4 linked regions of the Saccharomyces cerevisiae S288C genome follow. Changing the gene in region 3 together with the main gene of any one other region gives a genetic interaction. Each region holds a gene or a part of one and is shown on either strand. Other genes may lie near its edges.

What was found.
Region 1: mutations in MKK1 (region 3) and MSB4 together harm fitness more than expected from each alone (negative genetic interaction), as found in Saccharomyces cerevisiae (3 studies listed by BioGRID).
Region 2: mutations in MKK1 (region 3) and OCA2 together harm fitness more than expected from each alone (negative genetic interaction), as found in Saccharomyces cerevisiae (2 studies listed by BioGRID).
Region 4: mutations in MKK1 (region 3) and YBR287W together harm fitness more than expected from each alone (negative genetic interaction), as found in Saccharomyces cerevisiae (3 studies listed by BioGRID).

The regions. Positions count from the first base shown.
Region 1 is NC_001147.6:104,585-112,554, forward strand, and holds MSB4 (Rab GTPase-activating protein MSB4), read left to right. Parts: upstream 1-2,125; coding exon 2,126-3,604; downstream 3,605-7,970. Other genes in the region: putative serine/threonine protein kinase SKM1, read left to right, coding at 1-1,709; MDY2 (Mdy2p), read right to left, coding at 3,674-4,312; SHR5 (Shr5p), read left to right, coding at 4,592-5,305; ZEO1 (Zeo1p), read left to right, coding at 5,713-6,054; INO4 (Ino4p), read right to left, coding at 6,847-7,302; YOL107W (uncharacterized protein), read left to right, coding at 7,518-7,970. UniProt on the Saccharomyces cerevisiae protein: Regulates exocytosis by functioning as a GAP for SEC4. Also required for efficient polarization of the actin patches.
Region 2 is NC_001146.8:515,469-522,346, forward strand, and holds OCA2 (Oca2p), read left to right. Parts: upstream 1-1,780; coding exon 1,781-2,374; downstream 2,375-6,878. Other genes in the region: YNL058C (uncharacterized protein), read right to left, coding at 295-1,245; porin POR1, read right to left, coding at 2,526-3,377; YNL054W-A (gag protein), read left to right, coding at 3,988-5,310. UniProt on the Saccharomyces cerevisiae protein: Required for normal growth in the presence of linoleic acid hydroperoxide (LoaOOH).
Region 3 is NC_001147.6:766,837-774,627, reverse strand, and holds MKK1 (mitogen-activated protein kinase kinase MKK1), read right to left. Parts: upstream 2,028-7,791; coding exon 501-2,027; downstream 1-500. Other genes in the region: mitochondrial nucleotide exchange factor MGE1, read right to left, coding at 1-55; WTM1 (transcriptional modulator), read right to left, coding at 2,515-3,828; WTM2 (transcriptional modulator), read right to left, coding at 4,816-6,219; MCP1 (Mcp1p), read left to right, coding at 6,851-7,759. UniProt on the Saccharomyces cerevisiae protein: Involved in a signal transduction pathway that play a role in yeast cell morphogenesis and cell growth.
Region 4 is NC_001134.8:772,871-780,661, reverse strand, and holds YBR287W (uncharacterized protein), read right to left. Parts: upstream 4,092-7,791; coding exon 2,808-4,091; downstream 1-2,807. Other genes in the region: SNF5 (Snf5p), read right to left, coding at 1-995; APM3 (Apm3p), read left to right, coding at 1,199-2,650; APE3 (aminopeptidase Y), read right to left, coding at 4,349-5,962; HAB1 (Hab1p), read right to left, coding at 6,306-6,740; YBR284W (metallo-dependent hydrolase superfamily protein), read right to left, coding at 7,030-7,791.

The sequences.
Region 1 (7,970 bases), 670 kb from region 3:
TTTATGAATCAAATTCCAAAAGATCGATATTCATTTCCACAAGAACCGAACGGGATTTGCATGGCTGGCTTGATGCCATTTTTGCCAAATGTCCTCTCCTTAGTGGTGTTTCATCACCAACAAATTTTACACACAAAGTACACGTTGGGTTCGACCCAAAAGTGGGAAACTTTGTTGGAGTACCTGATAGTTGGGCTAAACTACTACAAACCTCAGAAATTACGTACGACGATTGGAACAGAAACTCAAAAGCTGTTATTAAAGCACTGCAATTTTATGAAGATTACAATGGACTGGACACAATGCAATTCAATGATCACCTCAACACAAGCTTAGACTTGAAACCTTTAAAAAGTCCGACAAGGTATATTATAAACAAGAGGACTAATTCCATCAAGAGATCAGTAAGTAGGACGCTCCGAAAAGGCAAAACAGATTCCATTTTACCCGTCTATCAATCAGAACTTAAACCATTCCCAAGGCCTAGTGATGATGATTATAAGTTTACCAACATAGAGGACAATAAAGTACGCGAAGAAGGCAGGGTGCATGTTAGTAAAGAAAGCACGGCAGATTCCCAGACAAAGCAGTTAGGAAAGAAGGAACAGAAAGTCATTCAAAGCCATCTGCGAAGGCATGATAATAATTCAACATTTAGACCTCATCGACTAGCACCATCTGCACCTGCTACAAAAAATCATGATAGTAAAACTAAATGGCATAAGGAGGATCTCCTTGAACTTAAGAATAATGATGATTCGAATGAAATAATAATGAAGATGAAAACTGTTGCAATTGATGTAAACCCAAGACCGTATTTCCAACTGGTAGAAAAGGCTGGTCAAGGAGCAAGTGGTGCAGTATACCTGTCAAAGCGAATAAAATTACCTCAAGAAAATGACCCGAGATTCTTGAAATCACATTGCCACCGAGTCGTAGGCGAAAGAGTGGCCATTAAGCAGATACGTTTATCTGAACAACCAAAGAAACAATTGATTATGAATGAACTCCTAGTGATGAATGATTCGCGCCAAGAAAATATCGTTAATTTCCTTGAAGCCTATATTATTGATGACGAAGAGTTATGGGTGATAATGGAGTACATGGAAGGTGGCTGCTTAACAGATATATTGGATGCTGTAGCAAGGAGCAATACCGGTGAGCACTCATCGCCGTTAAACGAAAACCAAATGGCATATATAGTAAAAGAGACGTGCCAAGGTTTGAAGTTTTTGCATAACAAGAAAATTATCCATCGAGATATCAAATCTGATAATATCCTTCTGAATTCCCAAGGGTTAGTGAAAATTACAGACTTCGGTTTTTGTGTGGAATTAACAGAAAAAAGAAGCAAGCGTGCCACAATGGTAGGTACTCCATATTGGATGGCACCTGAAATAGTGAATCAAAAGGGATATGATGAAAAAGTCGACGTTTGGTCTCTAGGGATAATGCTTATTGAGATGATAGAAGGTGAACCGCCTTACCTAAATGAGGATCCTTTGAAGGCGCTGTATCTGATAGCTAACAACGGTTCACCAAAATTGCGTCATCCAGAGTCAGTGTCCAAGCAAACCAAACAATTCTTAGATGCCTGTTTGCAAGTGAATGTCGAATCAAGAGCATCCGTGAGAAAACTACTAACGTTTGAATTTTTGTCAATGGCATGCAGCCCTGAGCAGCTCAAAGTATCCTTAAAGTGGCATTGAAATTTAGCTTTTTTTTATTTAGGAGAAACAATATATATATATATGTATATACGTATGTATGATTCATATTTTAATCGCATTTTTATTTCATCTAAAACAATTACTCTTTTTGATTATTTATAGAAAAAAAACAACAATGATACGTTTGCTTCGCGTTATGTCAATAGAAAATGTAAAAGGAAAAAGAATGTGTTGCTATTCGTTAGGCGGATTTACGGATGGAAGACATATCTATGAACTGAGCTTACAAACGCTTTTAGCGGGGACAGTTAATCATTTTACGGATGATTTTATAAGAATAAACTATTTTTGAAAAGTTAGGATAGTATTTTGTACATTTGGCACCGAAGTAATTCAAAATCGAGGAAGACTCGCACACTTTTACAATCACAGAAGGCAAAACCCGGCATGACAGGATGATAATGTCATCAACTATGTCGACAGAAGCCGCCTTGGTACCGAACGAAAGTGTTTTTGACACAGTTTCGTCATTCAACGAAGACGATGCCAATTATAGCGTTCTTGATTTATACGATGACGACGATGAAGGGGATGATAGTTCTACAGTAGAACGAAAAGAAATATTGACAACACGTGAGCTTGAAAAAGCAAAGGCGTTTACCAGCTTAATCATGGCAGATCCTGAGAATTTTGATAGATATGGATTTAGCAAGAAAGGATATTTCATTAGTCAGGAAGAATACGACAAATGGTGGACAGAATATAATAGATACACCGAAAGAAGAAAAAAAAAGTGGGAGAACTTTCTTCTTAAGAATAAGATTGAGCTCCACAATGATAATCCTCTAGTATATCCTGCAAGGACAGATGAATTGTCAAAATTTGTTAGAAAAGGTATACCAGCAGAATGGAGAGGGAATGCCTGGTGGTATTTTGCTGGTGGACAACGACAATTAGACGCAAATGTTGGCGTTTATGATAGACTGAAAAGTGACTGTCGCGAGGGTGCCGTATCTGGTAAAGATATGGAAGCTATAGAACGGGATCTTTATCGAACGTTTCCCGATAATATACATTTCCATAAGGAGTCCTTCCAAAATGGAGAGCCGGCGATCATCCGATCATTGCGTCGAGTATTAATGGCCTTTTCTGTTTATGACAAGACTATTGGATACTGCCAATCGATGAATTTTCTCGTTGGATTGCTATTATTGTTCATGGAAGAAGAGAAAGCATTTTGGATGCTGGTTATTATTACCGGTAAGTATTTACCTGGCGTGTATGAATCAGACTTAGAGGGTGCGAACGTGGATCAAGGGGTGTTGGTGTTATGTATCAAGGAATATTTACCCGAGATATGGTCACACATTGAGTCATCGTATATGAATGGCAATGGCAGCACTGACCAGATATCAGGGCCAGCATCGGGGGAAGAATATCTCTGCAGGCTGCCTACGCTGACGCTGTGTACGGCAAGTTGGTTTATGAGCTGTTTTGTGGGCGTGGTGCCCATCGAAACGACCCTGAGAATATGGGACTGTTTATTCTATGAAGAGTCTCATTTTTTATTTAAAGTGGCTTTGGGGATACTGAAATTGAGCGAAAGCGAGTTTTTGGAGAGTAAAAGCCAGAAACTGTTTAGACAGTACTCTTCGTACACCTTCGGTGGTAGTAATGACTCTGATTCAACTTTCAAAAGATTAAAGAACAAGATTAAGACGCAGGAAGAGGCAGATATGGAGATTTTGCAAGTGATTCAAAATTTCCCAAAAAGATTGCTCAATCCGAATGATATCTTTGAGAAAGTCCTGATGAAGAAGAAGGTTGCGTTGAATGGTATTACCCAGGAAAAGATTGATCGCGGTAGAGAGTATGTGGCGATGGCGAGAAATAGACAAAGGGCGAGTAGCCGCCCAAAGGAAAGAAGAAAATAGTAAGCGCAACCGTGATAAAAAGCGCAACTGTGTAAAATAACAAGTATGTACGTACTAACTATACTAATCTTATTTGGCCAGAGACCAGCCTTTTTGTAGACGCTCCATGACTTGCCTAACCGCAGCCTGATCGTTCTCGAAATTGTTCTTCAGAAGAGCCTCGATATCATCCCAGGGCACAGTGAGTTCCTGTGGAGGAGCAGGAGCAGGGGAGTTAGTGGATTTCTCGGCTTCGGGTTCCTTAGATATAGTCGGATTCGGCTTAATCATGACTGTGATTGTGGAATTGGCAGGCGTGACCTTCAAATCCGATAAGAACAGGTTATCGTGGAGGACTTTGCCCTTCAAAAGCAGTTTTATCTCGCTTATGTGGGAGGCCTTTTCCTCGCTGATCAAGTGCTGTTTTATTTGTAAGATAGTATCTGATGGGCTGAAATCATGCTCGATGGAGAACTTGGGAGCTTGAATTTTCTTTAAGGTTAAGTGGACGGCGGCGTTGTCTTGACCTTGCTGATCTTGGTGCAGTTTTAACTTCTTGGCACGATTCTGCTTATATTTATACTTCAAAGTAGGCAACGGGACACCCAAATTGGTAACATCCTTCAGAGGTTTAGTATAGCTTTTTGGTAGCTTCGGTTCAGTTAAAGTGGCTAAGGTCAAGAATTTACTAACGAACTCGTGTTCTGGACCGCTGGCGGATGTGCTCATGATTAATTTTGTATAAAGTTATTATTCTTCGCTAGTTTATCTCTGTATCGGTCTGTTCTAACCCTTTTCTCCAACTATGTTCTCCTGTGCATGTTTTCTTCTTTTCGTTTTTCCTTTGTTTTTTTTGGTCGTAGTTGTCGCAAGCTCGGCCTCCGGCCTGATTTTAAAACTATTCCTAATTCAAGATTCGGTAAAAAAGATATATAATAGCTAAGGGGAGGAGAGGAATAAGAGGAAAAAGTTACATTAGAGGACAATACTCAATCTAACCCTTACTAGATGTGCGATAGCCATCAAAAGGAAGAAGATAACGCAAATACGAGCGAAAGGGCGTTATTTTTTAATTACCATGAGTTTTCGTATTCATTCTACGAAGACCTCGGTTCCGAAGACGCTAAACCCACAGAGCACGACGAAGACCACAAATTGTGTATTACACATTTCCCGAATGTGTATGCTGCTCGGGGCTCTGCCGAGTTCCAGGTGACCCGGGTGGTACGAGTGCCCCGGCGGTTCGATGAGTCTCGCAGCAGCCTTGAAACGCCACAATTTAGTACACAGCTTCCCGGTAGCGAGCCGGCGGCAATCGTGGGCGACGATGGCACTAGCTTTGTGCGGTGCGGGCGTTACGACATTGGGGATCACGTGTTTGGCTGCTCCTCCGTCTCGCCTCTGTCAGAATATCTTAGTGCGGCAGAGCTCGCGGAGGTTGTGCACCGGGTAAACGGATTCTTGCTGCGTGAAGAAGGTGAGGTGTTCGGGTGGCGTAACTTAAGTGGCCTGTTGCTCGATATGCTTACGGGCGGTCTGTGGAGCTGGGTTTTGGGGCCCCTTCTTTCTAGACCTGTGTTTCAGGAGTCTCTCGCGTTAGAGCAGTACGTGGCGCAGCTAAACTCGCCGGGAGGTCTGCTTCACGAGCGCGGTGTGCGCCTAGTATTGCCCCGACGGTCCGGGTGCCTATCCCTAGATTTCGTCGTGCCCCGACCCAAATAGTTAAACGTGTGGTTTATGGGTGCACCAGGGCTTTATCGTGTTTTATATCGATGGCGATTTGTGCCTCCAGTGTATTTTTGTATATCCAATTAAGGTTTCTTACCTAATTTTATTTTTATCATCTTTAGTTAATGCTGGTTTGCTCTGTTTCTGCTGCTTTCTGTGCGGTTCTCCTCTTCTCTTGTTTCTTCGTGTTGTCCCCCATCGCCGATGGGCTTATATGGCGTATATATATAGAGCGAGTTTTTACGTCGAAGATCATCTCAGTTTGCTTGATAGCCTTTCTACTTTATTACTTTCGTTTTTAACCTCATTATACTTTAGTTTTCTTTGATCGGTTTTTTTCTCTGTATACTTAAAAGTTCAAATCAAAGAAACATACAAAACTACGTTTATATCAATTAATAATGTCTGAAATTCAAAACAAAGCTGAAACTGCCGCCCAAGATGTCCAACAAAAGTTGGAAGAAACCAAAGAATCTTTGCAAAACAAGGGCCAAGAAGTAAAGGAACAAGCTGAAGCTTCTATCGACAACCTAAAAAATGAAGCTACTCCAGAAGCTGAACAGGTGAAGAAGGAAGAACAAAACATTGCTGATGGTGTCGAACAAAAGAAGACCGAAGCTGCCAACAAAGTTGAAGAAACTAAGAAGCAAGCTTCCGCCGCCGTCAGTGAGAAGAAGGAAACCAAGAAGGAAGGCGGTTTCTTGAAGAAATTGAACCGTAAAATTGCTTCCATTTTCAACTAATCACACTTGAATGTGCTGCACTTTACTAGAAGTTTCTTTTTCTTTTTTTAAAAATAAAAAAAGAGGAGAAAAATGCTGTTTATTCTGACCTTTTACATAAATTTTTCTTAATTGTATCTATCTAATAACTAATCAATATAATAATAATAATACTAATAATAATAATAATAATAATAATAATAGTAGTAGTAGTAGTAGTAGTAATAATGATGATGATGATGATGATGGATGATCAAAAGCCACAAAAAAGAATGCTCCGAGAATAACCTCGGCGGTTATTTCACGTCCCGGAGGAAAAAAAGTTTGATAAGAAAGTAAAAATATGAGCGGTACGAGAATCGAACCCGTGTCCCCACCTTGGAAGGGTGGGATGATAACCACTACACTAACCGCCCGGGTTAATTGTTATTAGTTGGTGAAACTGATCTCAATCACTATAACATTATGGTCTCTTAATAGCAAAGGCCAACCAACTGACTTCTTGCAAACTGATGTTCAATTTTAGCTCTAAAATAAAACAATGTAAAAGAAAGATAAAATGACATAAAGCACTATCGCTTCAACGGCAAACAATATTGAAAAAGTATCACATTATAGTAAGTTGAACACTAAAAGATTAAATAAATACTTCGGCACACTTTCGATGAAGGAAAGCATTAGTAGTAACGTATATATATCATTGTTGTTGCTACTTTTCTTTGTGGGATATGCACCACTCCCCTCTGCAAAGTGAAGAAAAGGTATGGGAAGAATTTCTTCGCTTATATTACTTACTTTACCCTACTCCTTGAATCACTGACCACTCTGTCCATCACCCAGCTCCCAAATTAACTCCTTCGGTACTAAATCCCGAATGTTTCCATTTTGTTCTTGTACGGGATCGCTGCTGCTGCTGCTGCCGGTTTTTGCCTCATGCTTAGCTATGATTTGTTTTCTCAGCTTTTCATTCCTTTCATACAACCAACTTAAGTAACTCAAGCTTTTCAGGTATATGATTAGTTCTGACCGACTTTCCTGGGGTTGCAGGTCAGGTACTACTGCTACCAGTTCGTCAAATATAGCTCTTTCCAATTCTCTCCTTTTTTTTTCAGACGAAACATGATTTATACGTATTTGACCATCAGTCAATTTATTAATCTTCTTAGACCTGCGTTTCCTTTTCTTCACATTAGCCAGTTCACCCTTTATCTCCTTAATCTCGGACAATCCCGGCTGTATTGTTTGTATCTCCTTAATATCGTTCGTCATTATTGCTTTTCTCTTTTTAGTTCAAGCCGCCCTCTTAACTCCTTCGTCAAGCTTATCTTGTTGGCATTGGAATTTCGCAAACGCAATCGCGCCTCTGTCTTTAAGGTGAGAAAAACATGTGAATATTTTGTTTGATACGTAACAAGCTCATACAAACCAAGCCAAGAAAAAGAAGACGACTAATCTATTTATAACAAAGATATTTGTTCACTATAATGCAATATAGTTCGAGGTTCCTAGAATTGAATATCCCGGATTCATTTTTAAATATCAATAAGATTCCTGATGCTACTAAATTTATTACAGTCACTTATATATGCTTAACTGCAACCCTTTTCTGTATAAGGAGATCCTTGTACAACAAGCTAGTTCTTGAAGACCCTAACTTGGACTACAACTTGATTACTTCGCCGCTTTTGCAAATGGTACCTTCGCAGATTTGGAGGTACCCCACCTCATTAGTTCTATCCAACTTCATCGACACTAAAGCTTGGAAGGTGGTAGTGAACTTATTGAATTTGATCATTGGTGGATCCTTCATTGAACGCAATTGGAACTCTTCCAAAGAAATGTTCAAATTTATCATAGTTTTAGGTTCTCTTACAAACGTTCTGATCATCATGCTGACTTTGTTAGTATCTTTTTTCTCTAATAAGGTAAGGCTGGAT
Region 2 (6,878 bases), on a different chromosome or scaffold from region 3:
TGGTTACGACCAGATCAGATAAAGTAGTTCAAAGATCACAACAGAATTTTATCTTTCCAATTACCATTCAGAAAAATTTTTTATCTCTTGGAGGGTTATTTTCGGGCCTTTCAAGAATATGATAAAGATATATCTTGGCAGATGTACTGATGATTACTGGTGCGTTAGAACCGTATGGCCTTGAAAAGAATAAAAGCAAACATCGATTTTTTTGGTACTGAATTACACAATTTTTAAGGACTAAAAAAAAAAATGTTTAACCTGAACAACCATGTATCTTAGATGTCAGGGTATCTAGATTATTTCTCTACCATTCAGGACATCATCCAAAAACATCGATGGCGCCTGTCTTTTATGAGCCTTTTTAGGAGAGCTAGTATTTGAGGTAGCAGAAGCGACTGGTATGAGGCCCAAGGAGGATTGGTTTCTCTTATGGTAGCCTTCCATTGAGTTAATTTTCTTTTCCTTTCTTTCAGGTGACGCTGCTCTTTGTGGTCTATTGAGGTTCAGCTTTCTCTCTTCTTCTTCTTCTTCTTCTTCTTCTAGATAGGTACCTACGTATAAAAATGGATCGTCAATAAAAATGTTAGTGTCTTTTGATTGATGGCGGCTATGACTTTTTTCATATTGTGACACTTGTAAAGTAGGAGATATAAATAAGGATCTTCTGTTGTCTGTGAACGGATCCTGAATTGGGTTGAATGGTGAGGCAGCATCCTCGTATTGGCTAGATTCTAATTGGCTCATAGAATCCCAATCATCCTGCATATATGATTTCTCATCATTGATGTCAAAGGGATTGCTTTGTAAAGAAGAACTATGCTTGTGGTGTCCCCTGTACAAATTTTTACTATCATTTGCATAAGAATTTGTCATTGTGAAACGACGAGACAAATAACTGGACACTAACCACCATATAAGAATACTGATAAAAATGGCACCTATGACAGCACCCACAGCAATGTATACAGTTCCATTTGGTTTATCAGCAGCATTTAAAATAAATGGGTTTCCTGCTGTAGATGGGGGTGTTATACTTGCGACAATTAGTGATGAGGAGGATGTTGCTCCACTGGAAGTTGAGAAAGCCGAAGATGTTAACGATGGAAGGGACTTGGAACTCGTTTCGGACACTACACTTGACGTGGGCTTTGACAGGGCGGTTGAACTAGTTGTAGTAGTAACTAAAGTAGGAAGGTCTCTTCTGACCAGCGATACAGACGGGATAAAGTTTTTCTTAACCATCTCTGCCGATGTTTCTTTCTGAACTTTTGACAAGGTATGAGTCTAGTTGATTATAATACAAGAGTGTGGGTATGTTATTAATAAACATTATAAATTATTAACCCATATAGCTGCTAAATATAATTGAAAATCTAGTAATTTCTAATTATACATTTTTTTTTTTTACAAATGTTTTATGATATGTTTACTATTTCCCGCTTTAGGAAATCATATTAAGGGTTTCATGAAAGAATTCTGCAGAGTGATCATTGGAAATCGGCAGAAAGTGAGAAGGGAGGCTGTCACCAGGTTCCCCTATACTATTCATGTGAGTGGTAGCATGCAAAGTAAAGACCCTTTTTCATTTAGTGATTCATCCATGAATAGCTCTTGGTGCTAGCCCAGATTTTTCAGTAATTTTTGTTTTTTCTTCTGAATTTTCCAGAATTAAAAAAAAGATCAGAAAAAAGCGAGAGTTTACTTAAGATATTAAAGTCTAGTTGATATATCAACAAGTGAAGGCAAAATACCAATAGAGTGCACGTTTCTTGATGCTATGAAATACATACCCCCATTAAATTTTTCGCCAGTGGTGAGCACGGATGTATCGTTATATCGATCGGGATACCCGATGCCGTTAAATTATAGTTTCATCAAGCATCAGTTACACTTGAAGACCATAATATATATTGGCGATAAAGATAGGCCTCTCGAAGAATATCAAAGCTTCCTGGAGTCAGAAAAGATAAAATACTATCACATATTTATGGATTCAAGCCGCGATGAAGGAATTCAAGAAAGAATGAACCAGGTCTTGCACTTGGTGCTGGATGTCAGAAACTATCCCATCTTAGTGCATTCCAATAAGGGCAAGCACCGTGTTGGTGTAGTTGTGGGAATCATAAGAAAGTTGTTACAGGGATGGTCCACTGCAGGTATATGCCAAGAGTACGGGTTATTTTCTGGTGGGATGAAAGATGGAGTAGATTTGGAGTTTATCACAATGTTCGAAACCAATCTGAAAATACCGAGAAACGTTATCCCTGGCTTTGCTAAACACTGCTTGTATTTGAATGAGCTAGAGGCTGCGGAAGGAAGTGATGATGAGTCAGGAAGTGAGTCTATTCTCACTGCCAAGCAACCAATATGATTATGAGAACCAGCCGTTACAAAGAATATTTTCTGTCATTAATATATTTGTATAAATAAAACAACAAGTCTAAAGATCAAGTAGAAAAATGGAAACAAGAACGAGCACATATATGGTATATAGTGAACATATATATATTAGATATATACGTTCAAGCGTCGAAGGACAAAGACCAACCTAGCTTGTGAACAGGTTCAGACAACTTCAAAGCATCGAAAGAGGAACCGACACCCAGAGTGACGCCAGGTCTTAACAATTGCTTGTAAGCCAAAGTGACAATACCGGAATCGGACACCTTAGCCTTAACTTGGGAAGATGCATCAGGCAAATATCTAGTGGCGAATTCGATGTTGACATTGGAGTTAGGTAGTTTGCAGTTCATTGTAGCCTTAGCACCGACCTGTAAAAAGGCGTTGACGTTTTGGAAGAAGTCAACGGTAGTTATTTGCTCGTTGTTCAATGTAGCGCCCAAGGAGTAGTCTTTGGCGAAATAACTTAAAGCCATGGCATAACGAGAAATGGAACCGGCGCTGATATCGTAACCAAACTCTGCGCCACCAACAATACCTTCGTGGGCCATAGTTAAGTCACCAACAAATGTTGGTGACTTCAAACACAAGTCAAAGGCACCTCTTGCGGTGAAGAAAGGTTGTGTGAACGTAGTGTTTAAGACGGCGGACTTGGCGACGCCTGGAGTCAAAGAAGTGATCAATTCGTTCTTTAGACCAGGGGTCAAGTTGGCAAACTCTAATTTGGTTTGCAAGTTGTTTGTGTTAGACCAGCCTTGAGTTAGACCCAAGCCGGTTTGCTTGTCATTCAACTTTGCTTCCACGTTAGTAGACAGTGGACCGTCTTTGACAGGCTGTTTAGCCTTCAATGAGAACTTAATGCCATTGGCGGTTGTTGTTTGCACATCAAAGGCAGCTGGGGTAGCATGATAGAAATCCTTGTTCAATAGGTCATTGATATTTCTGGAGATATCGCTGTAAACTGGAGGAGACATTGTTGAGAGGTTGGTTTGATTTTTGCTTTGGGTACGCTTGGCTGTTTCGTGTTGGGAGAATCCGTAGCACTAATGAGTAGTGGAACGAGTTGGGGGTAGTTATATAGTAGATCAACTCGTGCTCTGCTGGCTATAAAAGGGGTTCTTTGTTGAGGAACGGCCGAAATGGCGGTGTTTGATTGGGCCGCAGCCGGCAAAAAGCACCGGAACCGTGAAAAAAGCTCGTCTGACGCGGAAACGTGCGGCAAAAAATCTCCGCGACGGGGAATTGAACCCCGATCTGGCACGCGACAAGCGCCCATTCTGACCATTAAACTTGTTGGAATAAAAATCAACTATCATCTACTAACTAGTATTTACGTTACTAGTATATTATCATATACGGTGTTAGAAGATGACGCAAATGATGAGAAATAGTCATCTAAATTAGTGGAAGCTGAAACGCAAGGATTGATAATGTAATAGGATCAATGAATATTAACATATAAAACGATGATAATAATATTTATAGAATTGTGTAGAATTACAGATTTCCTTTTATGGATTCCTAAATCCTCGAGGAGAACTTCTAGTATATTCTGTATACCTAATATTATAGCCTTTATCAACAATGGAATCCCAACAATTATCTCAACATTCACCCATTTCTCATGGTAGCGCCTGTGCTTCGGTTACTTCTAAGGAAGTCCACACAAATCAAGATCCGTTAGACGTTTCAGCTTCCAAAATTCAAGAATATGATAAGGCTTCCACTAAGGCTAACTCTCAACAGACAACAACACCTGCTTCATCAGCTGTTCCAGAGAACCCCCATCATGCCTCTCCTCAAACTGCTCAGTCACATTCACCACAGAATGGGCCGTACCCACAGCAGTGCATGATGACCCAAAACCAAGCCAATCCATCTGATTGGTCATTTTACGGACGCCCATCTATGATTCCGTATACACCTTATCAAATGTCGCCTATGTACTTTCCACCTGGGCCACATTCACAGTTTCCGCAGTATCCATCATCAGTTGGAACGCCTCTGAGCACTCCATCACCTGAGTCAGGTAATACATTTACTGATTCATCCTCAGCGGACTCTGATATGACATCCACTAAAAAATATGTCAGACCACCACCAATGTTAACCTCACCTAATGACTTTCTAAATTGGGTTAAAACATACATCAAATTTTTACAAAACTCGAATCTCGGTGGTATTATTCCGACAGTAAACGGAAAACCCGTACGTCAGATCACTGATGATGAACTCACCTTCTTGTATAACACTTTTCAAATATTTGCTCCATCTCAATTCCTACCTACCTGGGTCAAAGACATCCTATCCGTTGATTATACGGATATCATGAAAATTCTTTCCAAAAGTATTGAAAAAATGCAATCTGATACCCAAGAGGCAAACGACATTGTGACCCTGGCAAATTTGCAATATAATGGCAGTACACCTGCAGATGCATTTGAAACAAAAGTCACAAACATTATCGACAGACTGAACAATAATGGCATTCATATCAATAACAAGGTCGCATGCCAATTAATTATGAGAGGTCTATCTGGCGAATATAAATTTTTACGCTACACACGTCATCGACATCTAAATATGACAGTCGCTGAACTGTTCTTAGATATCCATGCTATTTATGAAGAACAACAGGGATCGAGAAACAGCAAACCTAATTACAGGAGAAATCCGAGTGATGAGAAGAATGATTCTCGCAGCTATACAAATACAACCAAACCCAAAGTTATAGCTCGGAATCCTCAAAAAACAAATAATTCGAAATCGAAAACAGCCAGGGCTCACAATGTATCCACATCTAATAACTCTCCCAGCACGGACAACGATTCCATCAGTAAATCAACTACTGAACCGATTCAATTGAACAATAAGCACGACCTTCATCTTAGGCCAGAAACTTACTGAATCTACAGTAAATCATACTAATCATTCTGATGATGAACTCCCTGGACACCTCCTTCTCGATTCAGGAGCATCACGAACCCTTATAAGATCTGCTCATCACATACACTCAGCATCATCTAATCCTGACATAAACGTAGTTGATGCTCAAAAAAGAAATATACCAATTAACGCTATTGGTGACCTACAATTTCACTTCCAGGACAACACCAAAACATCAATAAAGGTATTGCACACTCCTAACATAGCCTATGACTTACTCAGTTTGAATGAATTGGCTGCAGTAGATATCACAGCATGCTTTACCAAAAACGTCTTAGAACGATCTGACGGCACTGTACTTGCACCTATCGTAAAATATGGAGACTTTTACTGGGTATCTAAAAAGTACTTGCTTCCATCAAATATCTCCGTACCCACCATCAATAATGTCCATACAAGTGAAAGTACACGCAAATATCCTTATCCTTTCATTCATCGAATGCTTGCGCATGCCAATGCACAGACAATTCGATACTCACTTAAAAATAACACCATCACGTATTTTAACGAATCAGATGTCGACTGGTCTAGTGCTATTGACTATCAATGTCCTGATTGTTTAATCGGCAAAAGCACCAAACACAGACATATCAAAGGTTCACGACTAAAATACCAAAATTCATACGAACCCTTTCAATACCTACATACTGACATATTTGGTCCAGTTCACAACCTACCAAAGAGTGCACCATCCTATTTCATCTCATTTACTGATGAGACAACAAAATTCCGTTGGGTTTATCCATTACACGACCGTCGCGAGGACTCTATCCTCGATGTTTTTACTACGATACTAGCTTTTATTAAGAACCAGTTTCAGGCCAGTGTCTTGGTTATACAAATGGACCGTGGTTCTGAGTATACTAACAGAACTCTCCATAAATTCCTTGAAAAAAATGGTATAACTCCATGCTATACAACCACAGCGGATTCCCGAGCACATGGAGTCGCTGAACGGCTCAACCGTACCTTATTAGATGACTGCCGTACTCAACTGCAATGTAGTGGTTTACCGAACCATTTATGGTTCTCTGCAATCGAATTTTCTACTATTGTGAGAAATTCACTAGCTTCACCTAAAAGCAAAAAATCTGCAAGACAACATGCTGGCTTGGCAGGACTTGATATCAGTACTTTGTTACCTTTCGGTCAACCTGTTATCGTCAATGATCACAACCCTAACTCCAAAATACATCCTCGTGGCATCCCAGGCTACGCTCTACATCCGTCTCGAAACTCTTATGGATATATCATCTATCTTCCATCCTTAAAGAAGACAGTAGATACAACTAACTATGTTATTCTTCAGGGCAAGGAATCCAGATTAGATCAATTCAATTACGACGCACTCACTTTCGATGAAGACTTAAACCGTTTAACTGCTTCATATCAATCGTTCATTGCGTCAAATGAGATCCAACAATCCGATGATCTTAACTTCCAATCTGACATCGAACTACATCCTGAGCAACCGAGAAATGTCCTTTCAAAAGCTGTGAGTCCAACCGATTCCACACCTCCGTCAACTC
Region 3 (7,791 bases):
GGATGAACGACTTCCTAGTTGTGGCCCTAACGGTGGCTGCTGAAAAAGCTCTCATTTTCAAATATTCAACTTACTCTTCCACAATATGTCCTTGTACTTTGGATCTAAAGCGGCACTTGGAAACTTATTATTGTTTTCAAATGCTTACGGTAATACCACGGTATATTGTTCTGGTTCAGCTGCAGCAGGCGTTATGTATAACTCATGGGAGTTACGTTTGCTTCAAACGTAAACTCGCTGGAAATTGCGTTGCGAGGTATTAAAATATCACTGAATACGTATGCCAAATACAAAGACATGTAAGACATTAAATGCTAATCCTGCTGATTAAATTAATATATCTATATATTCAAATTAAGTTTGTCGTCAAGCTGTATAAAGCCATACATTTTAGTTAGGCTATCCTGGGTATGAATCTTGTATGGAGGAAAATTTTTTTATGGAAAATGCGAAATAAAGTAAAATAAACTTAATCATGTTCGCAAAAAATTGCTTATTGATTAATCTTTCCAGCACTTCCTCACGAATTTTTCCATATTGACATTTTTTTTCATTTGACCCTTTATCCAAGGATGATTGATCATTTGTCTTGGAGATGGCCGTTCACGACTATCTTTTTTCAGACAGTAGTCGATAAAGGATTTGAATGATGGACTCCATATGATATTAGATTCGGGTTCATCCTTTAATTCAGGAGTAAATGTTAAAATCCACATTAACAATTCAAAGGGAGCTATATTGGCTGCCATCTTCTCGGAAGAGCATGGAAATTTCCCGTTCGCCACTTCCAAAATCGTTAATCCAAGTGACCATACATCAGATGTGACACTGTATGGTTGACCTTGAATCCTTTCTGGAGCCATATAGAATGACGTCCCCGTGAATGTTGTGGCTAGCGAGTTAACGGCTTCTCCACTGACCCCAAAATCACAAAGTTTCACCTGACCATTTTCATTCAGTAAAATATTCTGGGGCTTAATATCTCTATGAATAACTTTTTTTTCATGCAAATATGATAGTCCTCTTAGTACCGCTTCTGCAATCTTCCCCAGGACTTTTTCACTGATCCTACCACCACGCTCTAACAAATTTTTATAAATAGCATCCAACGATCGCCCACCCATGTACTCCATAGCAATATAAATTGAAGAGTTTTCGTCATCCGTAAACATTCCATAATATCGTACGATATATTCGGATTGGAAACTCCTATTAAACTGTAATTCTCTGAATATTTGCTTCTGATACTCGGGATCTGTATTTAATGTGTTTATCACTTTTAAAGCGAATATTTTTGATCCATTTTTCAATTTACACTTGGAAACAGAGCCACCGGCTCCTTCTCCTAGAATGCCTAATGTCTCGATCCTATCTTTTAAATTTGCATATTTCCAACCATTTTCATCCAATTGATCAACATCTCGTACACTGTTTAAGTCTATGTACGATTCAGAAGATGATTTAGGCTGGGACGATGACTTGATGGGACTTGAACTTTGTTCATATGCCGATATCAAATTTGAAAAGTCAGATCCCACTGAATTGCTCAGATCATTTCTGAGGTAGGGAGAAGAGGTGTTTGTATGTGAAAAGGGGCTTGCCATCGATGAAGGGGTTAAGTCACTATTACCAGACAACTCATTTTCGGCTATCACACGCTGTTTCAATCCTAAATCATGTTTACCATCAGACACATCGGCGATGGGTACGAGTTCGGGTAGTGTTTTGCACTTAGACTGTGAATTTATGCTGAGCGAAGGTAAAGATGGCGGTGCAGGCCTCTTCTTCATTGTATTTAAAGTCATTGAAGAGTCGCTAGGATGAAGTCGAGTTTGGGAGAAAAGTGTCGATGTGGAAGAGGTCAGTGGTTCTGGGGTGTGGCTACTGTAAGCTGTGGTGGAACTCCCATTCGACGTCAAGTATATATTATTTTCATCTACCTGATTATTTCGTAAGAGGGGCAGTTTAAGTCTAGGAGAGTTTGGGTTGCATTTCGCAGATTCTGGGGGTCTGAACAGTGAAGCCATACTGGGCAAATTGTGCAATGGAAGGATAGAGTTAATTTGGTCTATGTACACTGCGAGAAATACGCAACCATAAATGAAACGCAAGTTATGAAAAACCGGATCCAACCCTACCAGAGACCAACTTTCTTTTTAAATTGTGCCAAATTTTTGCTGCCCTTTAAAATAGAACTTCCTTATTCTGAGCCGTCACACGCCTTAATGATAATCAGTCGATCCGATTTTTCAATTGTCGCAATGACCTGAGAAATATAATTGCTCGTGTATAGTGACTTATTCGCCAGCAGGTGTACGGTATCTTTCATCAGTAGTAAGTATTGTTTAATTAAATATTGAATAATAAATATACTAACAGTAGCTCATACATAACTTTAGGCGCGCACTTTCATCACACAGGGTAAAGAAACCAGCCCTGGGTGAGAAAAACTAATAATAGTTAAAAGCATTAAATATATAAATATGGCCTTGTTCCGCGCGTTTAGCATGGCGACTATTCGCTTTCCTCGGTATAGGGCTTGTAGATGCTGACTAAACTATCGTCATCGACAGTACCAACCAAGTTTTCAATAACTGGATGCCAAGCGGCGGTGTTTCTTCTTCCAATCTGTTTTGGAGATCTTCTGCTTCCACCCTTGTGCAAGAATCTCAGAGATTTTGTTTGTGATTCTTCAGTGGCATCTTGAGGAGGAGCAATGGTATCGTCAGGATTGTACTTTGACAAGGAATAGTCAGTGTTCCAGTGGTAAATATTACCAGTGCCGCCCACAGTAAAGAATTCAGAGCTTGAAGTGGCAGAAAATTGGACGTCGACAACAGAATCACCGCCGGCATGATAGAAGTTAGCGATTTCATTCTGAATTGGATCTTCACCGTTTTGTCTATAAGTCAAATCAGTGGTGGCAGCTTCAGCCGCTCTGGCATCCCATAACTTGATAATACCCGTACTGAAACCGGTAACAAACAAGTTGTTGGAAACCTGAGAGCAATCAAACGAGGTCAATTTTCCGTTCTTTGGTTCTCCCAACACCCATATAGGCTTGTCGGAAGTTCTAGTGTCCCAGAACCTCAGAATATTGTCATCTGAACAAGACGCAAAGATATGATTGTCGAAAAATCTTACGGTGTGAGTCACAGTGGTACCAGGCACATGAACAGTACGTAGAATCTCACCAGGCTTACCGGCATTGTCAATGATTTTCAAAATACTGTCTTCTTCATCACCATTACTCTGAGACTTCACAATGGTTTCGGTATCATTGGAAATGCCGAAGTCAGAGATGGCTAATGAGAAATCCTTTTCAGGTAGATCACCAGGTCTGGTTAAAGAATGGATGCTGGCATAGCTGGTTGCTGGACCCATCAATTCCTGTACAATGTGAATAGGGACCTTTATACCCTCTTTGAACCAAGCCAACGACCCGTTCTTAGACATCGACAATAATGTAGTTTCTCCAGTCTTATCTAAGTAGGCCATTTTGGAGACAGTTTCACCCTGGTACACGAATTTTGGGCTCAACGAGGTGTTTTCAATACCTTCAAAGGCGTCACCATAGTCTTTCACCGGTTCTGAAGCGGCTTCTTGTAGTGGTACAGCGAAGTCAATTTCGTAGATATCACTACCTTGAGAGTATATAACACTTGAGGTTAGAGTGTTATTTTTTTTATCTGGAACAACAACGTTGCTGAACGTCAAGGACTTCCTTTGGTGCAGAACATTGTCCACACGAGACACAAATTTTGGTCTTAAGCTGGAGATATGTTCATAAGTGGAAGGCGTAGATGATTTCCAAACCTTTTTTGGCATTTTTGGTTGTAATGTATAGTGTGTTACAATTTATTTGTATCTTTCAAGATTGGTTGATTAATAATTAATTTTCTTATCTAATATCTACAATTCAGGCGAATATAAACTTTTCGGATCTTCTTTTTTCCCTCCCTTTATACTGGAAGCTACAGAACTGAAAAAAAAAAAAAAAAAACATAGAACATTAAGGGGACAGACTGCATGGAAAAGGAAAAGGTAAAAAAAAGCCCCGAAATGGTACTCTTAAATATGAGATGATAAACGAGGATTCGAAGGAAAATAGCCCAACTATCTACGAGTTGAAATTAAAAGGGAGTAGTGAGCGCCACTATGTGTGCTCACTGTGTATAGCTAAGCAATTACATAAGGGATAGTACATAAACCACCGTATGTTAGGAAAGAGGAAAAAAAGGAAAGACAAAGGTCTTTTGCCTATTGTATGACTTAGCCTTTCTTTGTTATACCCCGGCGCGTTCCAAAAAGGGAAGCCAGCACAGCACCGCATATTGAATACCGCCTTCTCACGTGGTACAGGCACAACTATCTTGCATGTGCCTCTGGGTCTTTCTTAGCGACAGCCTTTTAAGATTCTGAATTGTAAACATCGAGCTTCATCCGAGAAACGAAAGAGGGAATCTTGAAATGGACTATGTCACCATTAGATCCTCCCTCTTCTCCATATAGCCGGTTTTTGTCTTATTTCTTTGCTGGAAAGAAAAAAAAGAAATTGCTTGGTTAATTACTGGTAACCCTCTTTTCTTGAGGCCTTACTTCGTTGGCTTCAGAAATCTGAAAGAGTCTTTATTAGGAGCGATACCAGTATCTATACAACATTATACCATCACTATATATTACAAAAAAAAAAATAACCCCGATAGCGTGCTAGAAATGAATAAAAAAAAAAAAAACAGAATTATGTACGTGAATGCTTGTGAGTTACTGCCTTTCCCATAGGTGGTAACGTTAATTTCTTACTCTTTTTTTTTTTTAATCGTCGTAACCTCTGCCAATGAAGTCACTGGCCAGAAATGGTTTGTAGGCAGTAACAAGACTATCTGAATCAACAGTGCCAACAAAATCATTGATTACGGGGTGTAGCGCCACAGTGTTCCTCTTCCCGAATTGGTTGCTCGATCTTCTTGTGCCACCTGTGTGGAAAAATTTTAAACATTGACCCTGAAGTTCCTCCGGAGCAGCCACTCGAACTTCGTCTTCGTTGTCATCGTCGTTTCTTGAAAAAGAGTACTCCATGTCCCAGTGGTAGACATTACCCGTTCCTCCAACCGTAACAAATTCTGTTGCAGAGGTTTGTGAGAACAGGATATCGACAACGGAATCGCCGCCAGAATGGAACAACTTGGCTATTTCGTTTTGGATCGGTTCCTCGCCGTTCTGCCTATGTGTGAGGTCAGTAGTAGCCAGTTGCACAGCACGCGCATCCCATAGCTTGATGACACCCGTGCTGAACCCAGTGACAAATAGGTTTTCAGTAACTTGAGAGGAATCGAAGGACGTTAGTCGTCCATTTTTCGGTTCGCTTAGCGTCCAAAGCGGTTTGTCCGCTGTTCTTGTGTCCCAGAATCTTAAAATGTTGTCATCTGAACAAGATGCAAATAAATGGTTGTTAAAAAATCTAACTGAGTGAGCCACGTTGGTCCCTGGAACGTGCACTGTACGTAATATATCTCCCGGTCTATCGGAGTTGTCGATGATTTTCAAGATGCTGTCCTCCTCGTAGCCGTTACTTTGTGACTTTACTACCGTATCCATATTTGTCGACACATCAAAATCTGACACTGCTAATGAACCTGGTCTGGTTAGAGAGTGAATACTAGAGTATCTAGTAGCAGGGCCCATCATTTCCTGTACGATATGAACGGGAACCTTGATCTCATCTCTGAACCATGCCAAAGAGCCGTTCTTGGACATCGCGATCGCCGTACTGTCGTCTGAGCTTTCCAAGTATTGCATTTTTGCCACTGTTTCGCCCTGGTAAATCCACTTTGGGCGCAATGGTTTCCCCTCAACATCTTGGAAAGCATCACCATACTCTGGATTTGGGGTGGCTGCAGACTTCGTCTTGCCGTTACCTTCTTCGTCGTCGTCGTCGTTGTCGTCGTCGTCGTCGTCGTCATAGAATGTCTTTAATGGTAAAGTAGTGTCTATTTCGTAAATATCACTACCTTGAGAATATAAAAGACTAGTCGTCAAGGTGCCCTTGGATTTGTCTGGAATAATCTCACTTCTCCATGTCAGTGTCTTGCTAAAATGTAAAACATCGTCGACTCTTGTGCTGAATTGTGGTTTAAAGCTAGAAATGTGTTGGTATAAAGAAGGTGCCGGTTTACGGCGTGCTCCACTCGCACCCTGACTGGATTTGCTTTTCGCCATCCTCTATCCTTTTTAGTTCTTGCTCCCGTCGCTACTAATTGCTCCTTGTCTTATAAGTAAATGTAGCTGTACAGCAGAGATGTTCCATACGTCAGCTAACTAATTGCCTTTAATCTTTTTTTTTTTTATTTTTTTTTTTTTTCAAAAACAATAGAATTGAAGATGTGAGATGGAAAGGGAAATCAAAGTGCCATAAATGGTAAAGGCTTGCATTATGACCCGAATGGGTAAGAATGATCCAATGAGAGTCTGCGGACGCATATGTGCGGAATATGACTTAGCAGTTCGAACCCCGAACGGGGCTAAAAAACCAAAAGGACAAACCTTATGCGGAACATCTACCATCTATTCAAGGGAGTATAGCTTCCGTGTAGACTATAGAAGAAGCGTTCCAGTCAATTCTACTACATCAGTCTTCCGACATCGCTGATTGTATCCTAACCAGGTCCACAACTAAAATTTGTTTTGAAAAGAGTGGCTAGAGAGCGAATACGTGCTCTGTAATTGTGTGAGGCAAGTTGGTCGTCAATTGGAAAATAAGTAAGGAAAACCTTGTGTAGATTGTATTGCTCCTAACAGGTCCCGAATTACTAGGGCATATACCAGTTAGCCCAGAGTTTTGTTTATTACGATGATAAAGTTGCATGAAGTGCCTCCAGAACCAGTAGACCCTGCTAGTCTCCCTCATGATGTTAATGCACATAGCCCCGAAGGAGATGGTAATCCTGATAAGAGGAAAAAAATATTTGGCATTCCGTATCCTTTTTCCAGGAGTTCATGTCGGAGATTCCTTTGGAACTGTCAAAAGATTTCGGTACTGCCCATGGCATTGTATTTCCCACTACATGCAGCAAATACATTAATCACGCCGGCAGTATCACCTGATTCTGCTCCTGACGACGTTTTAATGATGGTGAGAGAGATTTTACCGTCCATAACTACCAAGCTGTTAGTTGCGGGTATTACTCTTCATGTTTCTGCTGGTGTCTTGCTCCGAATCGTGAACAACTGGAACAAGCCAAGAAGAAATAGACATCGACATTTAAAGATATCGGCCGAACAAGATCTATCCCAAGATTCGATTGGTTTAACTGGTGGAATTTCTGGCTATTTATTTGGATTGTATAAGACCTTCCGCATTCCTCCACAAGTGATTAGTGGATACATCCTTGTTCCCGTCCTGATATACCACTTATTAATTATGAAATGGGTGCCGAATTCCATCTCTACTGAGGTGGATTTCGCCTCTATAAAGCAATTACTATCTAGCAAGAACAGGTGGTGGAAATGGCTTGGAGGCCTGGTGCCGTTAGCTATTCTCCTCGAGTCAGGTGTATATCATATAGGTTCGGGGCTCTGCCGTTATTTCGGTGTTAGAAAAATGACTAGCAGGAAAAAATGGTCCACAGCTATCAATCTATTAACACTCGTTGGGTTCGTTTCTCTGATTAGATTGATGAAAGAGGATTCTACGAAACTGGGTCCCAACCAATTCGAAAGCATTTTCAAAAAGATCCGGTTGCTGTTGCACGTGAATTAGGAATCCTTGTGGGAGTAGTGTGAAGCTATTAA
Region 4 (7,791 bases), on a different chromosome or scaffold from region 3:
GCTTTTTTGTCTGACCAATAGGTTGGATATGGTAGCTTGGTTTCTGGTGGATCGTATTGAATAGTTTGGTACTTGGGTAAGTTTAATTTTGGAAGTTGAGGAAGTTGGCCAATAGTTGGCTGAACATTGGTGGGAGGTTGTCCACTCATGGATCTAACTTGAGGAACTTGCTGAGATTGCGGTATTTGTCCTTGCTGCTGCTGCTGCTGCTGCTGCTGTTGTTGTTGTTGTTGCTGTTGTTGTTGCTGCTGCTGTTGCTGTTGCTGTTGCTGCTGTTGCTGTTGTTGTTGTTGTTGTTGCTGATGCTGCTGCTGCTGTTGTTGTTGCTTTTGTTGCTGCTGTTGTATTTGCACATGATGCCTAAACTGTTGTTGCTGTTGTCGCTGTATTTGGTTTCTAAGTTGCTGCTGCTGTTGCTGCTGAACCAGCAATTGCCTCTGCTGTTCTAGCTGAGTTTGTGCCGTTTGCTGTCCCTTTTGCTGCTCAATTTGGCGTTGCACTTGTTGTTGTGCAACAGTAATTGCATTCACAACCTGTGGATTATTTTTTGCTATGGCCTGCTGCCTCAACTTGTTCAAAACTTGTTGCTGTGTAGCCAAAGGTAACTGAGCAATTTGTGGAGGCAAATTAATAGGCGCTGGAGCTAAGGGCACTTGACCAATTTGGGGATGTAAGTTGTGTGGTGCTGGAGGAGGAGGAGGGGTAGAAGTCGCTGATTGATTAGCAATGGGTTGAGATTGTTGCGGAGGAGGGGGTGGAGATTGATGCGTTTGCGGTGGCGGTGAAGTTTGTTGTTGTTGTTGTTGTTGTTGTTGTAGACGACTCCTCAGTAACTGTTGGTGTCGTTGCTGAATCATCTGCAATTGTTGTGGTGTGAGGCTCTGATACAGCTGTTGCGGAATTTGCGCCATGTTAAAAGATGGAGTTCCAATGTTGCTAAATATATTTCCAATACTATTTGGAACGCTGTTGGTACCCTGCGGCTGATTATTCATTGTTGCTTTTGTGTAGTTCTTTACTATATGTTCCCTTGATGATGCTTTGTTTTGGTGTTTATGTTTGAAATTTCAGTTTCTTTTAAATGCGACGAAAAATGAAATTTTTGGTCAAAGAACAAGAAGAGATTTATTTAAAGTTGGCGATAACAGGACTTGGGCAACAACAGAGGCTGTAAACCTTACCAACCCAACCAAAATAGATGTATTTGTCATTCTATATCACTGATACAAAGAACAAACTTATTTTCCAGTATCTTTTAGGTGCAACAGCTCCCTCCTTCAAGCACCTGTGGACCCGCGTTCAGTCCACATGTCCTCAATTGCTCGAAGATAGCAGTAGTGATGATTATTTAGACCATTCAATGGTTGGAAGAGATTTAGAGGTCTATAAGTATTTCTCAGTTATAAATAAGCTCAATTATTGGTGCTTAGCCTCCACTTCGAAGTCAAAAGGCCCGCTTGATTGTTTTACCTTTTTAGAGACTATAGATCGTATCCTGTTAGAATATTTTGACAAGGATAAATTAAGTATCAAGAAAATTGTTAATAATTATGATAGAATCAGTTTGATTTTTAACTGTTGCGTCGAAGCGGGTGAACCAAATGTGAGTGATATGCTCTATGTTAATAAAATTAAAGAAGCTGTTCCTGAAAGATCGGATTTATCGAAGTTCATAAGTTCTACAGCCCATAATTTACAGCAGGCTGTGCAACTCCCACAACAAAGGCAACAGCAGCTACAACAAAATCAGATTTCTCGTGGTAGTAATTCACTAATCGAAAATGAAGAGATTGTTCCCTGGAGAACTTCAAGGGCTAGCAAACATGAGAATAATGAGCTTTATGTGGATTTGTTAGAAACATTCCATGTTGTATTTGAAAAGAAAAAATCACATCTAAGGTTGCTCACTGGAAGTATCCATGGAATAGTGGACGTGAGATCTTATTTGAATGATAATCCTCTAGTTGCAGTAAAATTAAACACTATGGGAAATGATATAGGTATACCCAGTTTGCATGACTGTGTTGAAATCAATGATGGTGTGTTTTCTCCCTCTAATATAACGTTTATACCACCAGATGGGAAGTTCAGATTGCTGGAGTATTCCGTCGATTTAAGTTCTCAAGTAAAGCAATCCGGAGTAAGGATGAATTCTATTGGCTTGATGTCTTTACACTTCCAAAATGGATTGGGTAAAGATTCTGATGAATTTGAGTTATCCTTAAATATTGAAAATTTCAAAAAAGTTTCACAAGTTGATGACCTAAAAATAGATTTACAGTTCAATGTTGAGAATGCTGATCCAAATGAAATAGCATATAAGATAAAAATATTGCGCAATACTCATGGCCGTTTTGAAAATAGCATTATCATGGGTCAAGGACAATGGATTTTTGATAAATCAACTGCCACTGGAACGGTACCTGTACTACGTGGCTGTATTGAGTATGAAAATACTGGGCCAAATTTTACAAAAAAAGTTGATTTACAAACAGTCTCCTTAGAATATTCTTACATAGGACAATCGGCCAGTGGAATCTATGTAGAAGCCATCGATATTGTATCTGGATTAACAATTGGCAAAAATACAAAGCTGTACAAGGGTGCAAAGTATAAGACCCAGACAGGCAATTTTCAAGTAAGGCTGTAGTTATATGTGTACTTGAAATTCCATGCGAAACTAAATAGAATATAATGAGAATATAAGTCTTGGAATAAAAAAGGAATATAAAACTATGCTAAAAAAAAAAAAAAATGAATAAGACTTTCATTCATGAAGACTCTATACAAAGGAATGAAAAGTTGTATTAAGTTGGGTTAGCCCACTGTAAAACGTAAATTGCACCTGAGACAACAATAATACTTACAGGCAAACTTAAGACAGCGTACCCCCAAAATAGAATATCGGCCATTTCTGCCTCGAAAAATTCATTCAGTTGAGTGATTTGAGTTAATTGAATGGCAGGAGGGGAAACAGTCAAAAGAAAACCGACAACAAGGAAAATTGGATCGTCCAAAATACTCACGTTTATGTACTTAACAGCAATAGCAATAATAGGCAAAAGGAAGCAAGAAGGTAAAATCATTCTTCCGATGATGGAGCCGATCAATAACTTGCTATGGTGAACCGTCTTAGGGAAGACTTCCGCAGAAGGATATAAGTTAGAACCGAGGACAACCAGGATCAGTGGGATAGAAACTGAACCCAGCTGCGTAACAGCCTCGGCAAATGTGTTATTGATAAACCCATCTTCCATAAATAGCTCTCTCTGCAACGGACCAATTGCTGCCACAACAACAGCAAAAATCATGGAATATAACGGAGGATTAAGGTTCGCTCTGATTCTCTCAAATACAGTGCATGATTTTTGCCAAATCTTATCACCGATGGAACTCGAACTCAAAAAAGATGAGTTCATTCTGTTATTTTCTTCTTCAAGCAATTCTTGTTCCTCTTGTTCCTCATTGACAAGTTCCTCGTTATCAATGTTGGGCGTCCTTTCCAACAAAGATTGCACTTGAGAAGGTGGCATATGCTGAGTGTTCTCTCCAGACCACTTCATTAGCTTATTGTAACCCCAGCTCCACCTCAGCATTTGTCCGATTTGTTGAAAGATCAGCAAGTATAAAATACCCCTTGATGCAACGTTATCTCTGTTATCATTAGGAATTTGGTCCCAAGTTAAGTTGGGCAGAGTGTAAGCCAAAGATAATGTCAAGGACACAGGTAGAGAGTTACTGTTACCAAAGACAGAGTTTGCCACCACAAAATTAGTTTCATCTTTATCCAAGTCTAGGATACGGCTCATTATCTTTCCGGAAATAAATGAAATACCAGTAGTCAAACCAAAAAAAATAGGAATGATGGCTATTTCAAAGATTTTGGCCATGGACAGGGATTTGGCCAACTTACTAAAAATAAGACATGGTGTAAAAAGGTCCACGTTCAACAGAGAAATGATTTTTTGACTTTGTTTGGGCAGCAGACCAGAACTAGCGCTCCAAAAACCAGCGAGTGCGATAATGACTACCTGTAAAACGGACTCAAAGACCAAATAAGCCAAATGAGCAAAACTAAATGTTTCAACCATATAGTAGAAATGCAGAGTAATCTATGAGGGTATGGTTAGTTGGGAATAACAAACCAAAAACGGGCTTCACACATATTGTTCAATTTACAATAATTTCCTGTTTAAACTTTTATATCACAATTTCAGTTTTTTTTTCTACCTTTTTTTCACTTTGATAAGGAGGCTGTGATCCCCTTGATGCACGTGCAGTTAAAAAAAAGAGGGTTTTTATTTTCTTTTAGATAATTATACAGAAATACTTGATGTGAACAGTACACTTAAATAATCAAGAAGTCGGCCCTGTACTTAAATTGTGGTTGTTGAGCATTCAATATGTCCACCTCTTTGTGCTTTTGGGTTTCTCTTTTTGGGAAACCCTCGAAAGAGTCAGCATAGGTGGCCACAGAGTGAGCAATCAACTTGGTGTTGGTAATGAATGCGTCCCAGGATAAGTTAGAGACATCATCACATAATTGATGGTAGCATCTGTCTAAGACCTTTCCGTTGTTGACGTTATTCTTTTCGGCACCAGTGGCAATACCACCGGCTGGAATTCCGTTGTTGATAAACCCGACATAATCGGATCTACCGTCAAATGGGACCAAAGTGTAGTTCAAGTGATGAGCCTTGTAGTAGTCTACGTACAGGTTTTTCAACTCTTCAGACCCCTTAGGGTTCTCCTTGTTGTTCGCATCATAAATTTCGTATTCATAGTTTGGAGAAGCCATCATGTCATAGTCCATAAATACTCTGATCTTGGAGTTTTCTTCTTTGGTCAAGTTATAAGCGTAGAAGTTAGAGCCTAGCAAACCTTCTTCTTCAGCAGCCCACCATGCAAAACGGACCTTGTTATTGATCTTGAAATGGGTCAATTGCTTAGCGACGTTCAATAGGGAAATAGTACCGGAACCATCGTCGTTGATACCTGGGCCCTCCTCAACAGAGTCTGAATGAGCACCAAGGGCAACAATATTATCAGGATCACCGTGTTTTGTGTCGGCAATGATGTTCTGGGTCTTGATAAATTCTACATAAGAGTCCATGGCAAAATATAATGAATAATCGATGTTCAATGCAATATTGGCAATCAATTTTTTACCAACTTTATATGGAACACCGACGGTGGCGACAGTGTGCTTGGTAGGTTCGCCTAATGTACCGTGTAGTCCTTCTTTAGATTTAGGTTCGTTGTCGTAAATGACCACAGCGGTGAAACCGAACTTACCGGCCAAATTACTCTTATCGCCAAAAGGACACTTACCTCTTTCGATAAGGGCAATTTGCTTTTCGTTGTGTCTTGGTGGGACTACAGAGGCGTAATCCTTCTCTTCACATCCCAAGTTAGGAATTTCGACTAGCTTACCTACGAACCCGTCCACAGGTGGAGAAAGTGCGAAAGCTGTAGTGTTAGCAAAGCTTTTACCGGTTTCGGCGTCAGAGAGGTTGAAAGAGATGATCTTACCGGATAAAGCTTCGAACTCTTGCAAAGAAACATCATAGTAGTCCTGCATGTCATCGAAAACATTCAATATGTATTCCATAGTCTTGTTATGACCCTTGGACCCGATCACACGGGTAGGGTGACCGTAGTCAGGAGTAGAATAGTTAGCTAAACGGTAGAGGTCCCAAGCAGTAGCATTCAAATCGTCAACTTTGATTTTATCTTGCAATTTTTCACTTTCTACATGTGGTTTCATGAAGTAAGGAATATGTGGCTTCGGAATGTTGGCAGCAACGGCAGAGCTATCATCGTCGTTTAATTGCGGAAGATAATTCTCAATTGGCTCTTCTTGTTGAAAGGCTTCCTGGAAGAATTGAGGAATGACATAGGCAGAGCCTAAATTGGTAGCGTAAAACGCAGCGACAGCCAATTGCTTCAAAGAAAAGTGCATGGTTGGCGTTTCTGTTTTTTTTTTTTTTTTGGCTTCTTCTACCAATTGTTGAAAGGCTGAACATGGTTTTGTTCCCATCCATTGTTCCTCGCTTTTATATTGAAAAAAGAAAAATTTTCCTAAGGACCCCTTCTTCCTGAGGGTTAATTTAAGGGAATTCAAAGTGTGTCAATAGTAATTAATAGAACTAATCAATATATTCAGTATAACTTTTATTATTAATAGTATATGATATTACTTTTTGAACTATATATTTATGGAAGCACAAAAACATAGAGAACACTCTTTCTGACGATAAGAAAGGTGATTATATCAAGATATATAATGAAGCAGCTCAATTGTCTTATTTCTTGTATCTCAAGTAGCTCCTTCTAGTGCTACACTTTAGTATTCTGCTTTGTTTATCATCGAACCTATCAAATTCCACGGAATCCTCTGGTGAATATGTGTTCTGGTGCCGTGTTGAGTTATCGTTATCCAATTTGTGTTCATTGGCGACAAGGCCCTTTTTCAGCTCATTCAAATCTATGCAATGATTATTAACGCCTTTCTTATCAATGGCAACCTTACCCAAATTGTTTCTGTTTCTAGTCAGGATTGTAGCCATTTCTCTATCTGAAATGTCCGCCTCCATGCTATCGTCAGTGGGGCTTTCTAAGGATTTTATGTTTATGAAACCATTGTTTTCATTGCAATAGATTATTTCAATGGGGGAAGGCTCTTGCTTTTTAAAGGAGAATAGACTATCAAAATATGAGAACCTAGAAAATATGGTCATTGTCAACTATAAGCGAGCTTAGAGATTTCGAATTGTTATGTTATAAATGGAGTGATAAGACTCTTGTTTGAGGCTTGGGCTTTTTGATTTATATTAAATTAAGATATGTAAAAAAAAAAATAAATTAAAAAACGTGTGTTCTATTTACAGTATCTACTTACTTATTTGTTTATATATTCCATTAGTTTACTTATCTTTATCCTTAACCTTTTTTTTTTGTGTGTGTGGGGAAGGGCGGTACATAATATTAGCGTCACAATATGCGCCCCTCGAAGAAACATGAGCGAATTCACGCAATTATGAGTCGCCACTCCCCTGCGAGAGTGCTACTGCGATATTGACGTCTGATGATCGGAACGTTATGCTCTAAACTTGTATTTGGTTTACAATCATACCACTTGTCTACAAACCCAGTGTTTTCCACGAAGTAGTCATGGCTGGCTAAGGAAACGCCGAGCCATTTGTTCTTTAGGGTACTTGAAAATCCACTGGTTATGACACTGTTTCTTAGAAGTTCGCATAAATCTGCTGAATGTAAACGGTATATACTAGCCGCTACACTATACTCTTCTATAATGGGTTCTTTCGTATACGAATTGTTGTAGAGGATAGATTCTGAGCTCAGCGATATCTTGAACCCCATTTCAAAAAACTTCATGAAAGGGTTCTTCTTATAAGGCTTTGAGGGCTCTAGGACAAGCCCCGTCGGGGCTTGTTCTTGCAGCATTGTAGGCTTTGAATCTACTATGGAATTCAAAGGCGCCACAACCATGGGAATTTGACTTAGATAGAAAAGATACACCAGTGATGGTGGTGCATTCCAGAGATTTTCTGCATTTAGAAACCCTCCACAGGCGAGCAAGAAATTGTTTAAAATAGCTTCCGTATGTTCTGTGAAGTTCAGTGTATTACTAAACTGTGAAGTTCGATTCATTGAGGTGGGAGAACATGAACTTCTCAAAGTGAAGGTATTTTGATGAAGGGCTTGGCGGATATGGTTCAATTTTGTTAGGTTGACGTAGACGTAATACATATATTGTGAAATGGTTGG